Linked DNA regions of Coturnix japonica. The protein of the gene in region 1 purifies or fractionates together with the protein of each later gene. This does not show direct contact. Links are inferred from orthologs where the notes say so. Each region holds a gene or a part of one and is shown in the gene's direction. Other genes may lie near its edges. The genes, in order: IKBKB, SRC, CREBBP, BTRC, caspase-8-like, RIPK1 and FKBP5.

The links.
Region 2: the proteins of IKBKB (region 1) and SRC purify together in Homo sapiens (affinity purification with western blotting; 3 studies listed by BioGRID and IntAct, with this or other methods). This does not show direct contact. The link is inferred for Coturnix japonica from reciprocal best matches to the Homo sapiens genes IKBKB and SRC.
Region 3: the proteins of IKBKB (region 1) and CREBBP purify together in Homo sapiens (affinity purification with western blotting; 3 studies listed by BioGRID and IntAct, with this or other methods). This does not show direct contact. The link is inferred for Coturnix japonica from reciprocal best matches to the Homo sapiens genes IKBKB and CREBBP.
Region 4: the proteins of IKBKB (region 1) and BTRC purify together in Homo sapiens (affinity purification with western blotting; 3 studies listed by BioGRID). This does not show direct contact. The link is inferred for Coturnix japonica from reciprocal best matches to the Homo sapiens genes IKBKB and BTRC.
Region 5: the proteins of IKBKB (region 1) and caspase-8-like purify together in Homo sapiens (affinity purification with western blotting; 3 studies listed by BioGRID and IntAct, with this or other methods). This does not show direct contact. The link is inferred for Coturnix japonica from reciprocal best matches to the Homo sapiens genes IKBKB and CASP8.
Region 6: the proteins of IKBKB (region 1) and RIPK1 fractionate together in Homo sapiens (co-fractionation; 3 studies listed by BioGRID, with this or other methods). This does not show direct contact. The link is inferred for Coturnix japonica from reciprocal best matches to the Homo sapiens genes IKBKB and RIPK1.
Region 7: the proteins of IKBKB (region 1) and FKBP5 purify together in Homo sapiens (affinity purification with mass spectrometry; 3 studies listed by BioGRID and IntAct, with this or other methods). This does not show direct contact. The link is inferred for Coturnix japonica from reciprocal best matches to the Homo sapiens genes IKBKB and FKBP5.

Annotation. Positions count from the first base shown.
Region 1 is NC_029537.1:4,085,640-4,089,846, forward strand, and holds the start of IKBKB (inhibitor of nuclear factor kappa-B kinase subunit beta), read left to right. Parts: upstream 1-1,407; 5' UTR 1,408-1,469; coding exon 1,470-1,574; intron 1,575-1,653; coding exon 1,654-1,748; intron 1,749-2,881; coding exon 2,882-2,999; intron 3,000-4,207.
Region 2 is NC_029535.1:4,438,571-4,442,787, forward strand, and holds the start of SRC (proto-oncogene tyrosine-protein kinase Src), read left to right. Parts: upstream 1-1,417; 5' UTR 1,418-1,681; intron 1,682-4,217. UniProt on the Homo sapiens protein: Non-receptor protein tyrosine kinase which is activated following engagement of many different classes of cellular receptors including immune response receptors, integrins and other adhesion receptors, receptor protein tyrosine kinases, G protein-coupled receptors as well as cytokine receptors.
Region 3 is NC_029529.1:11,029,537-11,033,036, reverse strand, and holds part of CREBBP (CREB-binding protein), read left to right. Parts: intron 1-81; coding exon 82-268; intron 269-3,500. UniProt on the Homo sapiens protein: Acetylates histones, giving a specific tag for transcriptional activation. Mediates acetylation of histone H3 at 'Lys-18' and 'Lys-27' (H3K18ac and H3K27ac, respectively).
Region 4 is NC_029521.1:19,987,210-19,990,709, reverse strand, and holds part of BTRC (F-box/WD repeat-containing protein 1A), read left to right. Parts: intron 1-1,225; coding exon 1,226-1,322; intron 1,323-1,954; coding exon 1,955-2,092; intron 2,093-2,543; coding exon 2,544-2,662; intron 2,663-3,500. UniProt on the Homo sapiens protein: Substrate recognition component of a SCF (SKP1-CUL1-F-box protein) E3 ubiquitin-protein ligase complex which mediates the ubiquitination and subsequent proteasomal degradation of target proteins. Recognizes and binds to phosphorylated target proteins.
Region 5 is NC_029522.1:9,936,816-9,940,033, forward strand, and holds part of caspase-8-like, read left to right. Parts: intron 1-102; exon of another isoform or gene 103-198; coding exon 199-640; intron 641-1,388; coding exon 1,389-1,494; intron 1,495-2,623; coding exon 2,624-2,909; intron 2,910-3,100; coding exon 3,101-3,168; intron 3,169-3,218. UniProt on the Homo sapiens protein: Thiol protease that plays a key role in programmed cell death by acting as a molecular switch for apoptosis, necroptosis and pyroptosis, and is required to prevent tissue damage during embryonic development and adulthood.
Region 6 is NC_029517.1:63,195,276-63,198,302, forward strand, and holds part of RIPK1 (receptor-interacting serine/threonine-protein kinase 1), read left to right. Parts: intron 1-300; coding exon 301-388; intron 389-1,214; coding exon 1,215-1,760; intron 1,761-2,834; coding exon 2,835-2,906; intron 2,907-3,027. UniProt on the Homo sapiens protein: Serine-threonine kinase which is a key regulator of TNF-mediated apoptosis, necroptosis and inflammatory pathways.
Region 7 is NC_029541.1:463,448-467,423, reverse strand, and holds the start of FKBP5 (peptidyl-prolyl cis-trans isomerase FKBP5), read left to right. Parts: upstream 1-1,176; 5' UTR 1,177-1,237; coding exon 1,238-1,282; intron 1,283-2,942; exon of another isoform or gene 2,943-3,120; intron 3,121-3,976. UniProt on the Homo sapiens protein: Immunophilin protein with PPIase and co-chaperone activities. Component of unligated steroid receptors heterocomplexes through interaction with heat-shock protein 90 (HSP90).

The DNA of each region.
Region 1 (4,207 bases):
CCAGAGGTCTGCAGGCTTAGCTGTAGTGCTGAGAAAGCCCTGCTTTGAGCTGGAGCAGCGTGCTGCACTGCAGTGACATCCCCTCGGAATCTTGGGCACAGAGACCTTGTGTCACAGTGTGCCTCAGTGTTGCTGGAATCAACTCCCAAGTTAATTAATATCAATGAAGAAATGTTAGGACCTCTCATTTTCAGGACGTAAGTGCACAGAATCCTCTGTCAGCAAACATGCTGAGGGTCATTTTGCACGTTGGCAAAGAGGAAACTTTATCTTGAATGTTTAAGTCTTTTCTGTATGGAAACCTGTGTCAAGGTTGTCATATGCATCTGCACGTGTGAACATAAGTGCCATACATCTGCTTTAGGAACAAATGGGACTGTGTTGAGAAAGGTTGGTTGGGCTCTGCTGAACAAACGGGCTAATTTCTATCTCTTTTAAAGATGATTTTTTTTTTGCTATTGGAGTTCTAAAGTTCCTAATGAAGTAATGGCTTCCAGTGAGGATTTCAGAAGTTGTTATTTCCCAGCTTTTTGAGCTTAAGGTCAGCTGTAGCTTTCTAGAGAGTGGTGTGGGTGCTCTGTGTGCTTCTTACTGTGCTTTAGGAAAGCAAGCAGTAACAGCACCTTCCCCATTCAGCAGTGTCCGCTGCTTTACCTCCCAGCTGATCCTGCATCAGGACAGGGTTTTTTTAGAGGCTGCTAAGTTAGGATCCCTACGTACTGTTCAGCTGCTCAGGTGCTGCCTGAAGCCTCTGCTTCATCCCCGGTTGTGTTTAAGAGCTGTTTGGGTGTGGTACTCAGGGATACGATTTAGTGTAGGGTTTTTAGAGTTAGAGTACTATGGTTATAGGGTACTATGGTTATAGAGTACTATGGTTATAGGGTACTATGGTTATAGTGTACTATGGTTATAGAGTACTATGGTTATAGGGTACTATGGTTATAGGGTACTGTGGTTATAGGGTACTGGTTAGGCTACGGTTGGACTTGATGATCTTCAAAGTCTTTTCCAACCTGGGTAATTCTATGATTCTATGATTCTTTCAGTTCCACACCAGGTGCAAAATGCAGGAAGTGTAAAAGGCTTCAGAAACGTGTTTTCTTGCTTTATGTTGCCTGGATGTTGTGTTGAGGGATATGATTTAACTGGGAAGTATTGGTGATGGTTGGACCGGATGATCTTCTAGGTCTTTTCCAACCTTGATAATTCCGTGATTCTGTGGTAAGTACCACATCATTTTTACAATACATACCAACCACGGAAGGCGGCCCTACTGCAGCCTGAGTCCTACGTCTCAGAGTTTCTTCATTGGAAAAGCTGAATTTATTGCTCCTTATCGCCTTTGTAGCCCTCACTTGACGGAAGGCGGTCGCGGCCCCTTTAAGGCCGCCTCGTACCACGTGCCTCCGGAGCCGGAAGTGCCGGCGGAGACGGCCCAGGCCCCGCGGAGGCGCCGCGCTCCGTCCGCCATGAGCCGCCCGCCGGCTCTGCAGGCGCAGACCTGCGGCCCCTGGGAGATGAAGGAGCGCCTCGGTACCGGCGGCTTCGGCAACGTCATCCGCTGGCACAACAAGGTAGGAGGCGGCCCGTCCCGTCCCGCTCCGCCGGGCCCGGCCCGACCGGCGCTCAGCCGACCCCGCGCTGTGTCCGCAGGAGACCGGCGAGCAGGTGGCCATCAAGCAGTGCCGGCAGGAGCTGAGCCCGAGGAACCGGGAGCGCTGGTCCCTGGAGATACAGATCATGAAGAGGTGAGGCAGATAAATAGAGATCGTGAAGAGGTGAGGGACATAGAGATCGTGAGGAGGTGATGGGGAGCAGCGGGGCCTGGCGCTGCGGGACGGGCCGAGTGGAGCCCAACGCCCCCGCGCTGCCGGGCCCGGCCCTGATGGGCGCGTTATAGAATGACAGAATGACTCGGGTTGGCAGGGACCTCAAGGATCATGTAGTTCCAAACCCCCCTGCCTGGCAGGGCCACCGAACATACACATTTACTAGATCAGGTTGCCCAGGAGACCCCATAGATCCCCATAGAGACACCATAGACCCCATAGAGACTCCATAGATCAGGTTGCCCATGGCCCCGTCCAACCTGGTCTTGAACACCTCCAAGGACGGAGCATCCACAACCTCCCTGGGCAGCCTGTTCCAGGGCCTAACCACGCTCCTATGAAGAACTTCCCCCTAACATCCAACCTAAATCTTCCCTCTTTTAACTTAAAACCATTTCCCCTAGTCCTGCTATTGTCAGCCCTTTCCAAGAGTTTACTCCCCTCCTGGGAGTAAGTTCCCTTCAGGTATTGAAAGGCTGCAATGAGGTCACCCCGCAACCTTCTCTTCTCCAGGCTGAACAAACCCAACTCCCTCAGCCTGTCCTCACAGGGGCATAGGCGTTATAGTAATGGCTGCACTGAGGTACGGGCAGGAGGGGCGGCTGGTCCGGCATGGAGCGAGGACGTGCTGAAGGTCTTTGTTATTCCTGAGAGCTTCGGGTCTAAGGCTTTCCTCGTAGCAGCTCTGCTGTGTTAGCATCTGCACAGGGCTGTGCTGTGGGGTTCTGGGTTGGTTAACACGGGGTGTTGGGTTGATTAGCTCTTGCTAAACAACTTGCTGGGGGGTGATACCGGCCCGGCGGGGCATTGAGCTCGTCCTGTAGCTCCATGTCACACCTGTGATACATCTGTGGCACACATAGGGTGTGCAAAGAGCTGGAATGAGTTTGTAGGCCTGTGAGGGATGGATAAATTGCAGGCTGTTAGAGCTGACTTTCAGTTTCTAAAAGCATTAATGGCCTTATAGGACTTAATGTGACAACCATGACTGTGTGAGGCTGTGCAGGTGTGGTTCTGGTGCGGTGTCCATTTGCCTTATTTCTGTTTCTCAGGCTGAACCATCCCAATGTGGTGGCTGCCCGTGATGTTCCTGAGGGAATGCAGAAGCTTGCACCGAATGATTTGCCATTGCTGGCCATGGAGTACTGCCAGGGTGGGGACCTCCGCAAGGTGAGCTCACCAGGTGCTCCTGTGAGGTGCCAGTCATTCACTCACTGTCCTCTCCTTCCCAGTGAGATGGGGGAGAGAACTGAAAGACAAAAGTGGGACTCGGTGGGTTGAGATAAAAACTATTTACTGAGTCAGAGAATAGATCATTATTATGACAAATAAGCCTGGAAGAGCCGGCCCTCAGCCCCTCATATCCTGTTCACCATCAGTTTGAGTCAGCTGTCCTAATCCTGTTCCCTCCTAGTAACTTGGGCCTTTGCTGAGAATGGCCCTTATGCTGTGCAGTACTGCTTAGCAGCAGCTATAAACGTTGGTGTGTATCAGCATTGTTTTTCTTATAGAACCAATACACGGTGTCATGCCCTGCACTCTGAAGAACGCAGTACTGTCCCAGCTGCAGCTGAGACAGGTGGTGGTGGTGAAAGGTTAAAAGCTGGATTAGCTTCCCAGCGGAATGGAACCTAGGGGCTTCTTTTTAGGAGTTTCTCTTTAAAGCATATTTTCATGTTCTGATGCTTCCTAATTCTTTATGTGATACCAAGAGGATTTTACACGTTAGTCCTTGATAAAGTTCTGAAAATCTCTAGTGCTTTCTGAGGCTTTTGACTTTTATTTGTCTGCAAGTAACAATGCAGCAATTTTGCATGTAGAAGATGAGAGCATGTGTGAAGGATATGCAACAGGATTTGGAGCACGTCCAAGACCATTGTAGCTCAAGGTGCAGGCCCTGTCTGTAATAGGAAAAAAATACAGTTACTAGTGCTGCTTCTTATCTTACTGCTTTTTTAAACCTTCGCTATAACCTGCCCATAGATGAGACCTGTAACTTACAGCTGACTTTGCTATAACCTGCCCATAGATGAGACCTGTAACTTACAGCTGACAGTGCTATAACCTGCCCATAGATGAGACCTGTAACTTACAGCTGACAGTGGAGCTGGTATTGCTAGGCTCCAGGGGAAATGCTTATGAAGGACCCAGCAAAGTTGCAGTAACACTGACTTTCCACTCTCCCTTTCTCATCCTATGGATGCACTGAGGCTTGAAGCCCTAATTATTGCTAGGAGAGGTCCCAGCTCCATGGTTTTGTCTGTAAAAAAACAAACAAATAAAAAAAAACTTAATTGTTCATGCCTGAACATCTTGTGTTTTGAGAATACGTGGGACTGCGATCCTTCAATGGGATATAGGGTGGAGAAGCTGTCATT
Region 2 (4,217 bases), on another chromosome or scaffold:
ATTGGAAAGCACCTGCCTTTCACTTCTAGTTTCAGCCTCTGCATCCCTCTCTGCCCTGCCCCCCCACCGTGTGTTTTTGGTGCTACTGAAAGGTGAAGAGAAAGAAGAAAGAGGTTTCAGGGAAGGGAGTGGAATGCCTCACAAAGAGCATGGGTGGGATGGTGAGAAGAGCAGGGCTGGGAGTGGGGCAGGAGGAGAGGGCAGCTGGAGGGCTGCAGGTGAACGCGCCTCGGGCACAGAGCTGAGCCGTGAGCCGGGAGGGCCCCTGCCAGGGTGCTGCGAGGGCACGTTGCTGAGCCAGAGCCCCAAAGAGGAGAGGCTGGATGCCAGGAGTGTCTGGTGGCCATTTTCAATGTGGGTCTGGGCTCAGCCCGTGCAGCAGCACCTCGGGGCTGGGGCCGAGCCCGGTGCCCGGGGCTGTGCTGCCTGCAGGAGGCTGCGGGGCTGTGGGGCTGGGGCAGCCGCTGTGGGTGCAGCATCCATCCATGCCCTGCTATGCCCTGTAGAATTAACAACACCGAAAGGACTTTCCACGGACACCAGGCTGCAGTCTGGGGCCGCAGCCTCCAATTCATGCAGGGAGCGATGATCAGGCTGCTCCTGGCAGGAAGGCCCCCCCGTGCGATGCGCTGGCCGGTGGGGACGGCTCGGTGTGTGCATGACTCCCGGTGACTCATGGGTTTGTTGGCCCTCGGCAGTGTCACGGGAAATATTTTTTTAATAACTCAAATGAGCCGGGGGAGGGGTGCGCACTGCAAACAAACTCAGTCACCCTCCGCACTGATTCTGAAGCGCTGGAGTTTCCAGAAGCCCCCGCTCTGGTCGCTGTGAGGGGCAGCACGAGGGGTGGGCACGACGTCCACGCTCGTGGCTCCACGGGGAGGCTCACGGCACGCTCTTCTTTCCCTGTTTATTCCCCTGCGCTGAAGTTTTGCCTCCTCCCCGAGATCAGGGGGATGGGGACGAGGATGCAGGAGGGCGCAGAATCCATCACAAAGCGGCTGTTCGCTGCGTGCCCCGGTCGCTATAATAAAAGCGAACCGCAAAGCAGCCGGGTTGTAACCTCAGTGCAAATCACCGCTCTCCTCTCGCCGATCCCGGGCGGGCAGCTCGGAGCCGAGCTCAGAACCGCGCCGCGCTCCCACGCGTGGCCCCGCCGCGACCGGGCGGCTCCGGGACGGGGTGCGTCGGTAGAGCCGCGGGCGGGGGCGGCTCCGGTCGCTGCTCCGCACCCCGCCGAGCCCGGCAGCCCGGAGGCTTCTTCCTTAAAAGAAAAAAAAAAAAAACCCGAGGGGAGGGGCTCGGCGATTTTTCTTTTCTTTTTTTTTTTTTTTTTCCTATAAGCCGTTTCCGGTTTACTGCTGCCATATTCCTAGTTTTTTTTCCCTCCCTGTGGGCTGTTCCCCCCTTACACACACACACACACACACACACACACACACACCCCGTACAAGGGGTGATCGGGGGCGGGGAAGCGGCGCTCCGGATCCGCGGTGCTGCGCGATGCTGCCGGCGGCGCAGCCCTGAGCGTCCGGCACGGCCCGGCCCGCGGTGCGGGCACCCAGAGCGGCGGCGGCGGCTGCGGGGGGCGGCGGCCGCGCCCCCGGCACGGAGACAAAGCCGCGGCCGAGCCCTGGAGGGGAGCGGCGGGGTCCGGCCTCGCGGGGCGCACACGCGGGAGGTGAGCGGGGGCTGCGCGGGGTCCGGCGGCGGGGATGGTCCCCGCGGGGTCCGGCTGCGGGGCCGGCGGGAGATGCTCGCCGTGCGGTGGAGGATGCCCGGGTGGCAGCGGGGCGGCTCCGTAATGCCCGCGGTAACGGCGGGGCGGCTCCGGGTTGCGTGGGGCGGCCGTGGGTCCGGCGGAGAGTGCGCGGGGTCCCGGGGCCGGCTGCGGGGCTGCCGGGGGATGGGGACGGGCCCGCCGGGGGAGCGGAGGGGGGAGCTGCGGGGTCCGGCCCCGCCTGCCCGCACTCCCCTTTGTTGTGATCGGGGGCTGCGGGAAACACTGGGAGAGCAGAGCAGGGAGAGCCGGGCTGTGTGCAGGCCGGGGCATGAAATATTCATCGCCCCCCTGCTTTGATGTCTCCTGCTCCGTTTCCCTCTCGATATTCGCTCGTCGGTGATTCGGGGCTCGTGTCCGCGCTCCGCCGGGCGTTCGCTCTGCCCTCGCCCGGGGAGGCTGCAGAGCCCCGCGCTGCCCGGGGAAGGGCTGTACCCGGCCGGCAGGTTCTCCCGGAGCAGCCCGGCTGCTGTGCGTGTCTCCGCCGCGAGGAAGCACCGTGGGACTTGTCTGAACCACGCCGGGGCCTGGGTGGACTTTCCCCTGCTGACCGTGACCCCATGCAGTGCGCTCGGTCCCCGGCTCAGCCCCACGGCAGTTTGGTTTCCTCTTGACCGTCCCTTCTCTCTGCTGCCCGGGAGCTCTGAGGGTACAGGGAGCAGCTCCCGTGGGTGATGTTCCCCCACTCAGTGGTGTTTGGAGCCCGTAGGGTGCTCAGTGCCTGAGTGCTGGGAATGGGACAGCACTGATCCAACAGCATCGGATGTAAACGGAGCTGTGGGAATGTGGCAACAAAAGACTCAGTTTGGTGTTTTTCCTCCTTCCGTGCTGGTGCTCACCCCTGTCCCCAGGGATGTGATGGGGCATGTGGTGGGATGCCGGTGACCTTGTGCTTGGGAGCAGTGTGATGCTGTTGTTCCCCTGCACTCTTCTGCAGGATGATCCCCTGCTGCTGCTGCTTGTTTGTGCTGCTTCGTGCTGGCTCAATGGTTGGCCCATGGACAAACCTCTGCTGCTCAGTGTCTGAGATGAGGCTCCCTGGGGAGCACTGTGCCACTGTGAGCCTGTCTGTGATCCCACTGCACCTCTCCTTAGCAGGCTGTGGGCTGCACCCATTCCCAAGCTTTGACCTTATCTTCTTAGCTTTGGATCTTATCTGAGCACCTCGTGCTCAGGAGCTTCCCCAAAATACAGCCCGGTGATTTTGGAGCTGGGGTTGCTTATGGGCCATCACAGCAGAGGGATGTGCAGTGCTCGCTGTTAAGATTGTCAGTGGCCTTGCAGTGCTCCCTGTGTGATGGAGATGCCCTACAGATACCTCTGCTTTTGAATGACATTGTCCTGGAGTGACTCAAGATCACCCAGGTGGGTCTGTCTGTCCCAGCACAGCGAGGGAAGGGGCCGTAATTTGCAGAGTCTGATGTGTGAAGGCTCTGCTGCATACACAAGGAACAAACTGGTGGCACAGAGGGGACATGGGCTCCGGGCTGGCTCACAATGACATGTTTTAATGACCAGTGAGCACGTGCCACGTCTGGATGGAGAAGGGGTTGCAGCAAGCCCTGGGCTGGAGCACTCAGTCCACGTGCCTAAGGGGAAGCACAGCCGTGCATCACTGCTGCCCCGCACCACCCCAGGCATGGCAGGGGAAGCACCAAGGGCTATCTGCAGCACTATTGCTTCCTGTACCATCCGTCCTGCAGCACGGTTTCTAACTTGGCCCTTTATCTCTGGGAACCATTTCCCAGCTGACCTCACTTCCTCAGAGCTTCTGAGCTCAAAGCCCTCTCGGAAGTGTGGATGCAGGGTGAGCAGTGTGGGTCAGCTCCCTGGAGTGTGATGCTGTGTGATAGTCTGCTCTGCAGTCTGCTTGGCCAGGGGAAAAAGGAGCTGGTTGGTGTGGGCCATATGCTCAGTGCAGCCCTGCTCTGGTGCTGTGACCTTGGTGTGAGGGAAGTGGCACTGCTTTGCACATGCCTCTGCACATGCACAGGCTGAAAAGAAAGCCTTGAAACAGATTTCATGTGGTTTGAACGTGGGCCAGGAACCAGGACCTGTAAATCTGCGTCTTGCTCTGACTTCCCTCCAGGCTACGGATCTCCTCACTGCCCTCCTGGGCACAGAGCTGGGAATGCTTGGGATGCACTGGGAGCTGCCGGGGGGGGCAAAGCAGTGCTGGAGATGTGGAGGGGATGAAAGCAATAGTGGGGATACAGGGAGGAGAAGCTCTGGGGAAGCTGGGGTCTGGCTGGTGGCTTTGCTTCAGACCTTATGGGGGGCTGCTCCCAGCCCCAGGATGGCTGTGCTGTGCAGAGGTGTGGAGGAGCTGGAATACCCACAGTGTAACGTGAGGGGTCCTGTCTTGAGGTCTGCGTTGGTGAAGGGTTTGGAGAGGAAAATGGGGAACTGCAGCACCCGGAGATAACACAGTCTCACC
Region 3 (3,500 bases), on another chromosome or scaffold:
ACAATCTCATAAGCTAATATTTAAAGGACTGAAGCCTGGGTCAGAGGTGTAACAGTGCATCTTATTGCCTCCTTTCTTAAGGTGGAGGAGGATTTACAAGGATCTTCACAAACAAAAGAGGAAACAGAAGGAACTGAGCTGAAACAAGAGCCAATGGAAATAGAAGAAAAGAAGCCTGAAATAAAAGTAGATGCTAAGGAGGAAGAGGAAAGTGGCACAAATGGAACCACTTCACAATCCACATCACCATCTCAGCCCCGCAAAAAAAGTATGTGTCTGAAAACTGATTTCTTGCATACTTTGTTAAAGAGCTCTTCTGTTTTCTACGGTCTGTGTTGTGCTGGGAGGGGCTCGTTTGTTTTTGAAAGTAGAATTCCTTTAATGTTACTTGAATCAGAGGTGGGAGCAGCGTGTTGTGTTCTTGATGCCAGCAGTATCCTCGCAGTTTCCAGTTTCTGCCCAGAAGGACTCAGGTGGTAAGGAAGTGGCTGCTGCTCAGGTGATGTGCATGAATCCCTCCCCGTACATCTTGGCCAACGCTCTTTCACAGGAGCTCTTTTCTTTGAAAGAAAGCTACATAGGATTACATTAGAATAACATCACAGATGCATGGATGTGCCCAAGAAATCATAAAGTTTTAGTTTGTAGAGATTGAATCTTGATCTCTTGTATATACCTTGCATTGCATTTAATTATTAGACATAGTCTTCTTAGAATAAAGCAGTGGATGTGAATTTCAGTTTGTAACACAATGTGCCAACCAAACCAGAGTGCGCTGCAGAGCCTGTTTCAAACTAACAGTTACAAACAGGTTGAATTCCCAGTGTTAAGAATCATTGCTTCTCCTTAAGTGTTCTTGCAGGTCAGTAGCTGGGAGAAGATGGTTCTTACAGAGGCAGAGCTGCACTGTGTCATTCTGGTGATTCAGTCTGGGTTACTTGTGTTTCCAACACCTCCTTTAGTAACACTGTTCTTGTCATAGAAATGCTGTCACTAAGTAGCCATACAGTGTAATATATGTGTGGCTCAGGCAGGTATAACTACATACGCAATTTTAAACTGAGCCATTTCCTCACCAAGTAGTTTATCCAGCTTTAACGGAGCATTTGCATTTAAACACAAAATAAACCAAGAAGTATTCAAGAGCAAATACAGTGAAGTGTGCTTAAGGGTTTTATGGTATCTTAAAACTGCTTACGAGACTCATCTCATGTTTTTTCATTCATTACATTGGTTTCATTTTCCATTGGTATTTGAGACTCCTGATGGCATGGGAGTTGTATTGAACACCATAGATTGAAGGGAAGGCTTTTGTTTGCTTGCCTCTTCCCTTGCAGTCTTCTCAATAGAAGTAATATTCCCATCACCTCTTCTCGTTGTAGCTGCCTGCCTTATAGTGTGATGGCCTGCAGGATGAGTTTTATTGGTCTCTTCCTTTGTTATAGGTCGTAATAATGAAAGGTCTGGGTTGAGGGAAGGTTCCTCAGTGTATTCCTTATTTTCAAGACATCTTCATCTTCCTTTCAGGATTTTCTCCTTAGTAACCATAAGCAAAATTTCCTGTTTGAAGAAGTGAAACTTCTTTTAGGAGTTAAAAAAGGGGGTGCCTTACTGTTCTTTGTCAGGGAGCACATTGTGATGCAGGCAGAGATCCCTCTTTGTTCTTACCACCTACACAGCTAAGACGAAATAGGGATAGTTGGATGTGCTCCTTACAGAGATGTGCTGCAGGAGGAGAACCAGGAGCATATAAGTGAGGAAGAGTGACAGTGACTTCCCTATTTACCTGCAGACAGAGGGATGCTGTGATCGAATGCTCTGTTTTTAATCACCTTCCTTAGGAGTTAAAGATGAAGGCAACTTTTCTTCATATTTTTAAGTGAAGTCATAACTCTGAATAACTGGATTTTAAATACACATATGTTGTAAACCAATATGAAAGTAGATGATAAATGTTTTCAGGAATGATGCTTAGTCTGTGAGTTACTTAACAGAAGTTCTGCTGAAGCTCTGTTGTTCCGATTTAAATTGGGATCAGATCTGTTTAGAAAGGTTCTTTAGCTGTTGTTATGTGGGTCAGTGCAGGGAGACTTCTTAGAGCAGTGTCAAGGTGTCCAGAATGGGTCATTAAAAGGTACGTTCTGACATTCAAATAAATGAAGTCATTTGAATTATCAGGTTTATAAAGTACGTGGATAAAACAGTTGCAGAAATAATACATAGTATTTACGCTGTGTTTCCCACTGTTCTTGAATTCTGTAATACAACTTTATTTATACAGTTTTGAGAGTATATATAAGGATTCTTTGCATGGGAAAGTGTAGTGGAAGCAAATTACTGTGTTGTCAGCAGTGAGGTGGTGGATCAGCTGAAGTCATGGCTGTGTTGCTTGGTGCCATAAGAACAGAGTTAGTGGGGGCTCAATGCAGGCCCACAGCAGGGCCTTGCTGCAGCCTTGTGTCAGCTTGCGTAGCCCTTTGCCATGATTTAGCTGGCTGAGCTGTGTTAGTTTGCCACTTGTGCACGAGCAGCAATCCTCTCCCAGGTACAGGCAATGCATTCAAACTATATTCCAGCTTCCATTTGCTCTGCAGGGACTGTTTTCATCCTGACTTACAACTTGCAGGAGCTTCAGCATCCACAGATGCCTGAAAACATAGGGAGCGTAAAGCTTCAGAATGTCTTGAGTTGAGTCAGCTTAACTTCTAATGCCTTTTTCCCATGTTTTGAGAGGAAAAAAAATCCTCTCAAAAATAAACCACTAATAAAAAAGGAGGGGAAAAAGTTTAAAAAATAAAAATTACAAAAATATATATTTTTTTTGTTTTCTTACCAGAATTTTCCCTCCCCCTCAAGCCAGTCTGTATCTTAATAAAGCACAGTCTGAACAACAAAAGCAATGATCAGCCTCAGAGGGGTCACTGTAGCCCTATTGATTTAAGTGCTTTCAAGAGAACTCCTAATTGCTCCCTTTTATTGGTATTGTTCTCATTTCAGCCAGGTAGATAAATATTAAATGCCATCCTGCTCTTCTTAGTTGTCGTCTTTTTTTCCTGAATAATAGGCATTCTTCCCTATTTAAAGCCCCTGTTCCTAAGGAAATAAATGTAATTACACTGCTGAGATGTTCAAAGAGCTCTCCAAGTTATCATTATTTTTCAGAAAATGCATTGCCTTTCTTGTCCTTGTCATCCACTATTGAAAGAAACATGGCTGTTGCCATGCCACTGTTGCCAAGTGGTTGTAATGATGCATGTAAATCTTGGAAGTATTAACACTTTGAAAATCAATTAACAGTCCATTGGACCGGGACTCTTTGCATGGCACGGCCAGGAGATCCCTGTGCCAGCTCTCAGGACATCTGGTTACCTTCTGGAGAGCTGGCTCTGCGGGATTCCTTTGCTGGATGAATCTTGACACAGGAGCAGCCAACAGTGTCAAAAGAGAAGGAGAAAATATGCTGTTGGTCTCCTCTCTGGATGGTGGAGCTTCACTGTGTT
Region 4 (3,500 bases), on another chromosome or scaffold:
GGCCAGTAGTAGTAATTTTCTTGCACTTCCAAACTGGATCATGTAAGGACCCACTTAATTGTTGATTTGTGTGCAGCCATATGTCCCTTCTTCACAAAGATTTGTCCCCAAACAGGCAGCTGCTGGTTACTGTTTGAAGGCTCAGATGATTCCTTTGTCCTAAGTAGAAAGCAGCTTTCTCTTAATTTAAATGTAAAGTAGTTTCCCTAATTGTCAAAAGATCTTTTCTGGAGTATTTGTTGTTTTGTTTGTTCAGTCCTATAGTTGACCTCCCTGTTTATACCTAAAAACTGTTATGATTTAGTCTGGATTTTGCCCAAAGTACGTAGCCAGTTAATGCAGTCTCTCAAATGACTTTCAAGATAAGTTATATGGAAAGGACAAGAAAAGAATGCACAATGAAGTATTGAGCAATTAATTATGCCGTAATGGAGTGAGGGAGGGGGAAGTGGAGAGCTGGCCCAGTCTAAACTCCGTGCCTCTGATGCCAGGATTACACTCGGAGGCATTTGTGCCTCTCTCCATTTTGCGAGGCATGTTGCCAGGCAGAGCTGCAGTTAGTACGCCCATGGTGGGGTTTACTAGCTTCCACACCGTGTTTGGTGGCTTCTTAACTTCAGGATGAGGAATTTAGGTTTTTTACACAGCAGGTAGTGATTGCCGTTTATGGATTTTTTGTTGTAGCAAAAATCTAGCTTGGGATATGAGTATTCCAAATCAGTGTGGAAATGAGGAAGGCACCACAGATGAAGCGTTGCTTACCAAAATGAAGTAGCAGCAGTAAAATGTCCGTGTTCCAAAACTAGTACTGTTCCTGTTAATGTAGATCAAAGCTAGTCCTGAGTGCACAGAGAGCTTGAGGGTTCTTTGGCTGCTCATTTTTTCTTTGTATGCTTTATTTTAAAGGTGACCTCTGATATGAATATGTATGCAGTGGGTGTGAGCCATTCTAACCTCCTATGGAGCTGAAGGGGCTCATGTCCAAAATAGTACGTTATCCTTCCCTGAGTGAGGAAGAACTGCTTTGTCATGAATTTTTCAGTGTCTAAATGCAGCATCAACGTGTCACAGGACACACAAACAAGGAGCCACCCTGTGTAACTGAGTAAATGAAGTTTGACTGTGAATCTGTGTGTGCTTTTCAGCAGCGGTTACCCGTTTCTGAAATGCCAGGAAGACCTTCCTCACAAATGCTGAGACGTGATCTGTGTTCTTTGTCTTCCAGGGGACAATACCTATTTAAAAATAAACCCCCTGATGGGTCTGCTCCACCCAACTCCTTCTACAGAGCACTTTACCCCAAAATTATACAGGATATAGAGGTAAGAAGTACCTTCCAGGTGCGATGGGCTTTTTTGTTTCATTTTGCCTTTTTTTAACAATCTCCCTCATTTAGTCATCATGCTCAGATTCTGTGAATGTTTAATGCTGATGGAGTATTTCATTAAGTGTGGTGTGTCTGTGTTCATCAGGAGTTGGAAGATCTGGGCTACATATAAATTCCCAGGCCTTCATCACTGCCTTAGAAAGAGGGGGAGCTGCATTGTTTGGGGAGTCTCTACACTTTGCACATCAGATGTCATAGGAACACTACCATCTTGACTTTCTCTATTCTGTGGTACTTTGCCCCATCCATGCACATGAGGTCTTTCTCTGCAATTGTTTAGTAGAGTCACAGAATTAAAGGTTGGAGTTTGAAAAAACAACTTTTAGGTCATTGCTCCCTCACCATGCCAGACCATGCAGGGAGTCTGGCCACAGTGTGTGTTCCAGGCCTTTGCCTGTCTCATTGGTTTCATCACACGCTGCTGCTTCTAGAAAACTCCTGTGTCATTCTATGGGCCTTGCTGCTGGAAAAAGTGTAAAGGGAAGTATCTGCTCTCTTCTCAAGCAAACAAAAGGAGAGTTTTGTCTTTGGTTTTTACTTCTATTTTGTCTCCTGTCTCTCCTCAAGACAATAGAGTCAAACTGGAGGTGTGGAAGGCACAGTTTACAGAGAATCCACTGCCGGAGTGAGACAAGCAAAGGCGTTTATTGTTTACAGTACGATGATCAGAAGATAGTCAGTGGCCTACGAGACAATACTATCAAGGTGAGAACTCTCCCGAATGGCCTGCTGATGGCACATGGTGCCAGTGCCATAAACAGCAGTGTCCTAATTTCAATGACACCTCTCCAACCTCTTGTTACTAAACAAGCCTTCTCCTTCACCCCTTACCTAAACATATATACCTTTTATTATTTGCCATCAGAGACTGTTTTCTTTCTGAACAGAATTAGTTAGCAGACTGTTTTCACTCAGTAATTACAGGTTATATGCTCTGCCCTGATGAGGAGGCAAGACCAGTGTTCAGAGCAAACCTCGTAATACCAAAGGTGTTAGCATATTACAACAGCCTGCACATCATCATGCCACTGAGGTAGTTCTGCCTGCATTGTAGATGATGCCTAATAGTGAAAAACAGACCAGTCAGATCACTAGGTGCTTAAAGTGTGATGTAAACCTTACTTAGCTGTCTGTTCTCTAATGTTTGCTCTCCTAGATCTGGGATAAAAATACATTAGAATGCAAGCGAATTCTCACCGGACACACGGGTTCTGTCCTGTGCCTGCAGTATGATGAGCGAGTGATCATCACTGGATCTTCAGACTCAACTGTCAGGTGTGTGCTTGTGATTCAGAGCTTTCCATTTGCCTCAGAAAGTTCAACTTTGCAAGCTGCTGAAATGATCTTTTCTTAAATCTGTGCTGTTTGATTAGCTCTGTGATCTAGTTCTGCACGCTTGTTCAGGAGTGCACTGTCCTTGTTTATCAGATGTCCGTGCAAGTGGCTGTCAAGGAGAAATGAGAACCTAAGCAAAGGTCAGTCAAGGTGGAGATGACTTAGGAAGACAATTTGGCATTTCACCAAGGTGCTGTGTGTTTGGATGCTCCCTGGGAATGCTTTTACATCCTCCATAGGAATAACTTTTTACAAGTTGGTTAAGTACTCAAAGCAAGTTTGAAGGTTTAGTCATCTGCTGTCCCTTAATTTTAACAAAGATGTGTGACTAGATCTCCTGTGAGTTTTAATTAAGTTTCAGCATGATGTTTCTTCCCCTTCAGTCTTTCTAACCTTGTTTTCTTTCCAGTCTCCAGTAAAAGGCTGGACACCTCAAGTCAGCACACACAGTGCACATTTTCACTATGCAGATGTAAAGTCCAGCAAACATATTACAGGATCCCAGAGAGCCTAAATCCTGCAGTGTAAATATGGTCACACTTGAATTAGTGAGTGAACTTGGACACAAAGGAGCAAGTTTGCCTTCTCCATGCTGTTACATATCCCCTTTTTGTCAGAGAATCAGCAATGCCCATGCAGTGAAGTTACAGATGACAAAAAGCTGTGCCAATGGCCTTTTCTGAAGCTATTACCATGTGTTCCTATGGCTGCAGGCAGCTCGTGGTTATCACTGTGCTGCATGTGAACTACCACCGTTAAACTAGTGACCACTTCATTT
Region 5 (3,218 bases), on another chromosome or scaffold:
GTGAGCGCTGGCCGGCCCCTGTGCTCCCCCCAGCCGTGCCAAGCGTACAGCGGGATTTTCTACTTCTTCAGCCTCTATTTTTTTTTTTTTTTTTTTAAGCAGTGCTCTGTAACAGTGAACGGAAACGGCCTCAGCTGTGTCAGAAAGCTCCTCTCTGGCAGACAAGCAGTTTCTGAGTTGAACTGCGTTTTTTTTAAGCCAGGAATCCAGACAGAACTACAGCTCCCAGGAGCCTGGGCGCTGCCTCGCCGGACGAAGTGGGCGGAAGCACGGAAGCGCGGGTGCACAAGGAAGTGGTGCCCATCCCAGCTCAGGGCTGGAGCTGCTGCGGGGAGATGGAGTTCTCCCAGCTGCTCTACGTGATCAGCGAGGCGCTGGACAGGAATGATCTGGCGTCTCTGAAGTTTCTCAGCCTGGAGCACGTCACTGTAAGAAAGCAGGAAGATATTGAGGAACCCAAGGCCTTCTTCCAAGCATTACAGGAGAAAGGGATGATCGAAGCAGGGGATCTGTTCTTCTTGAAGGAGCTGCTCTACCGGATCAATCGGATAGACCTTCTGGCTTTCCACCTGGGCTCCAGCCGAGAGGAGATGGAGAGGGAGCTCCAGGTCCCAGGCAGGGCACGGGTGTCTCCATTCAGGTGAGCAGCTGGCAGTGCGCGTTCATCAGGGTCCTGGGGGTGAAAGCCTGGCAGAGTTGCACTCTTGGGATCAGCTATCCTGCTTGGGTGGGTAGGTGCAAGATATTTACTGATGAGTTAGCACCAGGTAAGGTTTGGCAAAACACAAGCATCTCCATCTTTCCAAGGAAAGCGGGTATAAGCAGCAGAGACAATTTCTGTCAAATAGAAGAGAAGACTAAGCTTTCTTCTCAGAAAGAGACGTGAGGCACTGTAATGGACTGTCCAGGGAGGTGGTTGAGTCACTGTGTCCGGAGGTGTTCAAGAAACACATGGATGTGGTACTAAGGGGCATGGCTTAGTGGGAAAATATTGGCAATAGGTAGACAGTTGGATTACATGCTCTTACAGCTCTTTTCCAACCTTGGTGATTCTACACTTCTGAGATAATTTGCAGACTACAATGGCCTCCCCGCCTGGGTGTTCTGGGCTGCAGTCAGTGACTGGGTGTGACTGTCTTTGCCCTCATGTCTCACGCAGAAACACTCCGTGCAATTCTGATTTTGGGAAAACAGATGTTTTTAGTTGCAGCTTGGAATGGTTTGACTTCTGTCTGTTCTGGGACTAACGTCCTCAGATGAAAAGAAAAAAAGCTGTCCCGGGAAGGCAGCTGGGGGAGCTGAGGGGATGGTTCAATGGTACGGTGTTAAATTGTGCTAAGGAAAATGCTGGAGAACATAATGAAACTGTCCTCCACTGTTCCTTCTAGGTATCTGCTCTTTCAGCTGTCAGAAAACATCACCCAAGATGAGATGAAGTGTTTCAAGTTTCTTTTGTGGAAAGAATTACCAAAGTGCAAGCTAAGCCCTGAAACTGTAAGAATTGTTTGTTCTGTTTTTCTTTTGTTTTGATTCCTTAAATCATTGCTATAATACATAGCAGCATTTAGGTTGCACTGAAGGGAATGAGTGTTCCTTTTCCATAAGGAAAAGAAAGGACCTGGAATGGTGCACAGAGGACTTGTTGCATGCCAGTGTTATGTGTTGCTCCAGCAGTACTTCTCCAGCCCAGAAAGAACAGGCCAGCCCTGGGCCAGGCATGATGCCTGCACACCCAAACTCCATATAGGATTGACTGGCTTTCTTCAGTAGAAGGCTGAGCACTTCCATTTATCTTTTCCAGCTGGTTTAATTTTGGCTGCTTTCTAAGTAAGTCATTAACAAATTAAGAATCACCTACTAGGGCTATTCCTGTAATGTTTTGGTTTCTTACAAGAAAACCCCAAACAGATCTAGGCAGACATCCTTACTAGAGCTAAGGCCCATGATCTTGGAGTTAACTTACATAATTGCAAGAGATCCAGCTGCTCTGAATACTATGTCAATCTGCCCTTTTGACTGTCAGGTACTTTGTTCTGCCTAATGAAATCTCTTTTAAAATCTTCCCTCTTTTCTTAGAGGATAAACTGTGCCTATCCAGTGGTGGCTGTTTTAGTAAATCCATAGGTGACCCACTGCGCTCTGCCACTCCAGCAAAAGCTTCTGTCCCTTGGGTTCTCTCTTTCTTCAGAGAACTCTTTATACCATATTTGCATGGTTATACCATTTTTGCTACAGTGATGCTTAGGTTTCAGTCAAAGGCACAAAGATGCCACTGAAAGTCAGGTAAATGATAGGAGTCATTAAAAATGACACTATTTGTTCCTGTGTGATTACTATTAACTCTCTTGGGTTAGATCTTATTAGCTCTCAGCATCTCTGAGCAGTGGGAAGGAAATAAGTGTGTTTTAGGAAGAAAGTTTTAGTCATTGTACTCCTAGCTTTTGTCAGCCTACATTTAATTAAATCAGCTTGAGATATCAACTGAGGCAGTGAGACTGACAGTGGTTTACTTGTGTTGTTGGTACACTAAAGCCAGTTTGGGTGCACCTAAACATGCTGCAGCTTCCTTCTCAGTAGCAGCATGGGTCTGCCCTAAGAGCAAACTACCTTTCTGATTGCTCAGACAATGCTCGACGTTTTCATTGAGATGGAGAAGAAGGGGATTTTGAGAGAAGACGACTTAACTGTCCTGAAGAGTATTTGTGAAAAAGTGGACAAGAGCCTGCTGAAGAAAATTGAAGAGTATGAATTTAACACATTTGGTAAAACAAAACAAGTCCTCTTTCTCACACATTTTATTCTTGAAGCGATACATAAGGTGTCTTACAGGACTAATAATGAATGCTTTTCAGGAGAAGGAGAGATGCCTGTAACAGAGGGGCGAAGAAGCAGCACAGGAGCCCCCAGAGGTAACTGAAACTTTTTCAAAAATGAATGTTTAGATCTTTTCCAGCTTTTTGTACTCTCTACACTGCTTACATCTTGCCTCTTTAAGCATGTGCCTGACAATGATCAGGCATCCTTTTGCTTACTAACTGATTGCAGCGCTTTAAACTCCCTTTTAATTGTTTACTTATACATGTTTTGTGTGTGTATTCAGACAGTGCCATATGGCTGGCATCATCTGTGGCACCTGATTCTCTGGGCAACTGTGATCAGTCTTCACAGGTAAGTCAGTTTGTGTCTTAGAAATGTCACAATTTTGTCTCAGAAGAGAC
Region 6 (3,027 bases), on another chromosome or scaffold:
TATGAAATGTATCCCTATGTGCCAATTAAACTTATACTCATTTAGGTAAATGGTGTTCTCTGGCCAGCTCAGAATTACTACAGTTGCATTACAGTTCTTCCTCCTTTCACTGAAGATAAGATTTTGCCCATCTGTAGCAAAGCAGCGGCTATTTTCTGCAAGGCTCTGTCCTCTGTAAGATTGATGGAATCTGTTCACCCAGGTGACTTCAGTATAAGGATGTGTTTTCTATTCTATAGGTGCTTCCTCTCGTTAAGCTTTTACCTATAACTTGACCATATGCTCTTTTCTTACATGTAGGAAATGTGGCCCAAGTCAGAAGAACTGCTGCAGAGGATGAAATCCCTTCAAATAGATGCTGTAGTAGATACCAGCAATGGCCAAATAGGTGGGTGTTCCAAGTTGCATAACTAGCACATCATCCTGGCATGTACTCTGCTAAAGATAAAGTTGCCCCTTTTGTAGCTATGGAGAGACTCAGTCATTCAGTACTTCTAAAATCCAGTAGAAGTCAAATCCTACTAACTTTGCCCACACCACTGTAAAGATTTTATTAAGCAAGTAACTTGGAACTATAACAGGCAACCGATAAACCTTCACCAAAGCTATGTTTGCCATAACAGAAGTAGAACTATTGGACCTAGTAAGGCAGGCCAATTGCTGTACTTTTAAAGTAGCGTAGGTACATTTCCCTAGCAAAAATAATAATGTAAGACTACAGATTACAGATGCTTTTGTGCTTTTTTTTGGTGACATCTCCAGATAGGATTTCTACATAATCTTTTGCAGATATGACTTCAGTGACAAATTATTTGTGTTGCATTAAGTAACGCCAATTACAGTGAGTTCTATCTTCCATCTTGTTATACTCTGGTCTTACACTGGTTAAATACCAGTTAATGAAGTCAAGACTTGGTAGTAAATTAGACCCTATGAGTGCTGCTGGGAACCTGTTGTTTCAGTGACTAAGAACCTGGTGTCGATATATGCAGAATACACAGTGAATTCAGACACTGCTTTCCTAAGCATAATTCAGTGACACTTCCCAGAAAGGGAAGTATTACATAAAACAGCTTATGCTGGAAGTGATGCTACAGTTTCATCTTTTATAATTTACCATAGTATTAAAAATAAATTAATAGAATCTAATGTCACCACTAGTTATATACTTGCAATAGAATCTGTTTTAAATACTTCATTTTTTTCCCTTTCAGATCAACCTAATTCTCTACACAGCTCTCAGGGTCAGATTAATGAAGCCTTGTTTGCTGCCTACCCTGAGAACCAGCCTGTTGAGAGCTGTGAGACTTCGTTTACATCCCCTGACAATCTTGAAAGAAAACTTGAACGTGAATACGACTACCATGCATACGGCAGCCGGATGGATAAATCAGTAGCTCCACCATACAGCCCTGAAATGAGAGAGAGAGAAACGAGACCTAAAGTTTCCAATGATCCATTTGCAAAGCTGCCTTCTGTTCCTCAATGGGGTGAACTGTATTACAAAGCTGAAAATATAGGATCAAACACTAACCCTTGGTTTTGGCCAAAACAAGCTGCAATACCAACTCAGGGAAATTTAGAAAATTTTTATGGGCCAAACGTTAACAGTCTCCTAACAGGAAACACTGAAGATCGCTATGATCCATGTTCAACAAGTGCCTTTAGCCTAAGCAAAACTCCTGTGCCGGAATCTCGCCCAAACCTGGGGGCACAGAACAGCGTAAACCAGCAACAAAAGAATGCAGATGTGGATACAGGTGAGATTCTTCCTCCTCTTAACTCTTGTGTTTCTGAAAATGTGTTTTTTCCTCTAAAGACAAAGCAGCCTTAATAATAGCAGACAGTGGATAATACTGCAGCAGCTAACAAAACCAAGAGCTCTTACTAATCACACTTGGAAAACTAAGGAGTATTTTTGACTCACAGAATGTAACATTCACACCACAGGCTGTGTGCGCAAAAATGGAACTTTTCTCATGTATGTGCATGTAGCATTTCAGAAAAGAGATATTTAAGCTTGATTTGCAGCAAGTTAAGAGTTCAGGGAGCTAACAAGGAACTAAAGCTCTTAACTGGTTTCTCCAGAGAACACTGCTCAGTGCTAACACAGAGATGCCCTTACAGTTTGCTAGTGAACTGTGGAATAGAAAGCTATGGAGAAAACGAAGAGAACAGTGAGTGTCAGTAACAAGTGGAAGCAATCATTGTAGGGAGGCAACATACAATATCATGGCAGGCATCAGGCAGATGCAGAAGACCTGCACTGCAGTTCTTCTATTGTCTTATTTGGTGACCATAACCCAGTCACTCTTACTGCCCAGTCACAAACTGTCAGAGCTCATCTGAGCGCATCCAAATCCATTACTACATCAGACAGGAAGTTACATCTCTGCAGGACATTATTGCTACCAACAGAAGATACGGTGGCATCCCCAGCTACAGCTGGTCACAACTAACATGCTAACAAACCATGATCAGTCTCAGCAGTAAATAGCAATGTGCTCGGCAGCCTTCTTGGTTTGGAGGCAGTAATACCTGTGTCTACGCTGTGATCCTGTGCTGCTTTCTGCCAGGCAGGTGTTCATACACCCATGTGGAATCCTGTTGTTCTCACTGGGATCCAAGGATCACAAAGGCTATCAGTCCATAAGCAAAACCACAATAAGGGTAACTGCTTCAGAGTTATTAAAGGAGATAAAGTCCTGTTTGTTAAAAAACTTTCTGTCTTTTTGTATTTAAGAGCGCTATGCACACTGTACAAATAACAGCAGTACTTGTAGATTTGTTTTTTTTAATTTCCATAACACTTCTGGCATTTCCTCTCTCTTTAGGTATCAAGGTTTCTGCCTCTTTCACAAGGGGAACTTTCACATATTATCCTCCTGCAACTCCAATAACCAGAGGTAAATGCTGTAGCCTTTGTTTGTCTTGGTAGCCAACAGTTTATGCATTGCATTACGATCAGTGAGGAAAAAAGCTTCAGCATCTTCATCATCAGGCTGCCCAGGGGGGTGGTGGAGTCTC
Region 7 (3,976 bases), on another chromosome or scaffold:
CTCCTCTCCTTTTTCCTTCCCCTTCCCCTTTTTCCTTTTTCCTACCTTTGGGCAGAAGGCTTTGCCCTCACACTGTACATGGTGTGGGAGCACATCCCCAGGTTGTCACCCCAAGGGTACCCAGGTGTCAGCATGCCCAGCTATCACTTGGGGTGCCCAAGCTCAAGGCTTCACCCTGATCCCTGTCCCCACCAGGGACAGCCATATGCCAGAAGGATGACTGACGAGGGACAAGCAGTGCCCTGGCAGCTGTGCGGAGCCTTCAGAGATTATTCCTGGAATTTTGCTCCAGAGGAGCAGATTTCCTCCTGGGATGGGGCAGGCACTGGGGGGGAGTGGGAGGGAGCAACACACCCAGCACCAGGGCTTTGCACCCAAACCATGCAAGACTTCCCCCTGTTGCAGTGCCACGCTGCAGCACGTCCCCACTCTTCCTATGCCCACGGCTGTCTCCTGTGGGCCCCAATCCTGCCATCACCTCCCTGCGCCCCATGTCACTGCTGGGGGCTGCAGCTCCGCTCCCAGCCCAGCGCAGCGGGATCTTGCGTAACGCTGTGCTACAACACCCAGGCACTGCGGGCGGGTGAGGCGAGGACAGGGCTGCACCGTGCATTTCCTGGCATGGGGAAGTTGACGTCAGCTCGTGCTCTTCTAACATCGAATTTCCTTACAAACACCAATTGCAAAGTTGGGCTGGGGGAGGACTGAGCCCCCCCACGCCGCGCTGCTGCTACAGCCGCTGGAAGGGCTCTGGTACAGACACCCCGGTGCCCTGCTCCAATGCAAAGTCTCGTACACGTTTAGTTTTCTCTGCACGTGAACAAATGGAGCGCCGCAGTCACGCGCAGCCCAACGCAGCCCCCACAGCTGCAGCTTTGTAGGATGTTGGCTTCAGCGCGGGATCCTGCACGAGGTGCAGCTGTGTCAGTGATGCCCCACACACTCACACTCACACTCACACTCACACTCACACTCACACTCACACTCACACTCACACTCACACTCACTACCTGGTGGAGAGAAACGCAGTGATTGGAAACGTCTCGGAGCAGGAGCCGGGATCAGCGGGTCACACCGCGGGGCGGGGAAAAGCTCTGATTTGCATACCGCCTCCACTCCGGCCAATGAGAAAGCGTTGCGGGCGGTGTGGAGCAGACGGGCGGACGAAGCTACCAATGGGAGATGGGGAGAGGGGCGGGGCGAAGCGACGGGGAAACCCGGCCGGCGCGGGCGCGCGATGCCACTTCGGAGCCGAGCGGTGGCGGAGCGCGGGCGGCAGCAGGTGGGGCTGGGATGGGGGTGATGGGAGCAGCATCACGCGTGGGGCCGGGATGGGGGTGATGGGAGCAGCATCACGCGTGGGGCCGAGCCGTGTCGGTTGTGGAGTGTGGAGAGGGGGGAACGGAGCGTTACGCCCACGGAGGGGGCGAGGGAGGGACTGAGGTCCGTAGCGCTGCGCCTTTGGGTGCGCTCCGCTCGTGCCCACGGAGCAGCGCATCCCTCGCGGCAGAACCGGAGTCGGACTGAGATCGAGTTTGAGATTAGGATCGGGATTGGGGTTCGTCTGGCGACTGGGACCGGGATTAGGATTGCGATTGGGGCTGGAATCAGGATTGGGATTAGGATCGGTATTAAGATTGGGACCAGGATTACAGTTGGGATGAGGACCGAGGCCCGTCGGTACTGCAGTGTCCAAAGAGGGGATTTATTCTCAGTCAGAAAATGAGGCTGCTGCGCGGTGAGGATTTAATGAGTTTCCTAATGGCATTGACCAAAAATACCCCCGAGTGCAGGCAGCAACGTGCAGTTTTATTCAGGGCAGGTGCAGCAGCGTGGACAAAGTAAATGGGGCGTCTGGTTCAGATCCCACTGTTTCCTCTGCCTGTAGTGGTGTGGGTCTCCCAAATCATCTGGATTTTGTGTTTGTTTTTTCACCCAACCCACACCTGGCAGGATGTGCTGCTGTCACCCCAGCTGTCCCCTGGCTGTTCTGACCTATGGGAGTTACAAACTGTAAGGGGTAACCCAGGGTTGAGCCAAGTCAGTGTCCCCGTGGTGCTGTGGCAGGGGATGCCGTGTGAGTCCTGGACCCCATCGTGTGACATTACACTGCCTTGGTGGGCCAGGATGTGGGAGAAAGCAGGGAGAAAATAGAGTGGGAGTAGAAGATATGGGGTGGGAGGAGGAAATATGGGGCAGGAGGAGGAATGTAGGTTTCTGTGGAGGTGCTGGAGATAGTGATAGCTGCTGGAACCCTGGGAGGGAAAAGTGCACCCGATGGTGAGATAGTAGGGAGTGGCTCTGGATGCAGCCATGGGGTGAGCCTGGAGGTGGTGCTGGAAGAAGCCTCTGTGATGGCTGTGGTTTGGCTCCAGAGGTGGCCATGGGGCAGCCATAACAGGGCCCTGGAGGTGGCCACACATGGGACCCGGTGCTGGGGAACCCGCAGGACACGGGCTGCATGTTCCCGTGAGGTCCCCTCCCCTTGGGACGAGGAGGGACTGGGGTCAGTTCCCTGTGAGCAGGGGGAGAGCAGCACCCGAGATTTCTAGACAGCAGACCCCAAACCACCCTGCTGAGAACGCCCCTGTGCAATTAGGTGGGTTTTAATTGCAGCCAAGCAAAGGAGAAGGCTCACTAGGAAGCTTGGAGGTGCTCCACCTGGACACCCGGGCCTGCCCACCTTTGTTAGTTCCTCAAGGATAATTAGCTGCTAGATGAGCCCAGGGAGAGGCGGTCTCAAGTTTGGCCAATGCTTCCACCCCATTGTTCGGTGCTGATAAAGGCTTTGCTGAGCTCTGAGCTGTGCCACTGCTTCTCGGCTAGTCACTTTCTATGCTAGTTACCACGGGAGTCTGTGTGCTGCAAGGAGGTGGGGAGATGCATTCCAAAAGCATCCCTGGGCACCTGCATAGCGCCTTGTGTCAATCTTTAACCCCCAGCACAGGGAGAACACCGGGAAACACTGCCCAGATAGGAGCAGACCTGCTTAGGAGCTGCAGAAATTGGGGGTAAGGTGCTGCTAGTGGTGTGTTCTGCAAAGTGGGGAATCTCCGGAGCTCTGTGAAGGAGCTGCTCGCAAACAGTAGTGCTGCTTGTGGAGAATTGCCCTAATTAAAGGTATTCCCACTTCAAGGAGTTTTTAAAATTTACGTTAGTTGCTTAATTAAATCAAACTAGCCCTTGGCAGTGTTGTCTTGGTTGCCAATAACAGTGTTTCTGGCTGTCAGCGCAGTGTGCACTGTTGGTGTGTGCATCACTGGTTTGTGCATACTGGTGTGTGGTTGCACACGTGGTTGTGCACACGTGGGGTATGCATTTGTATGCATAAGTGGCTGTGCACATTGTGCATGCACGTGTAGTTGTGCACATTTGCATGCGTGTGTAGCTCAGCAGAGGTCCTCAGAACCTGCTCTTGCAGAAGCTTCCTTGCATCTGACTGCACCTTCACCTGAGCACTGCTTTGTGCAGGCAGAGGTGGAGGTCTGTGCCCCATACAGGTGTGCATGGATTGATGTTCTGGGATTTCACTCTGTGCTCTCAAAATGCTGCTGAGGATGTAAGTGATGAAATAGAGCCCCCTATTACTGGAGAGCTGCTGCAGTTGAGGCTCACCTGGCTGAAAGGAACCGGTGCACTGCAGAAAGCCCTCTGTTACAAGCACTGAGATGTCTTTATCAAAATCTAATGTTCTTTCCTGAATTTATCCAGAAGAAAACTCTAACTTGGAAGAGACCTGGCGTACGGGAAATCCCTTGCTTACCCCATGCTATAGTGACATGTGCTCCTCATGCATGGGGATGTGGTGCAGCAGGGATGCAGCAGCAGAGCCCAGTTAAGTTTGTTCCGTGGCCTGCAGGCTGTGTTTTGGTGTGCAAACAGGAGCAAATGTGTTGTTTTTTTCAGCCTGGAAGGAAATGAGACCACGTTCCCCTCTGTTGTGTGAGCAGCGATGAGCTCGTGGCAGCTCTGCTGC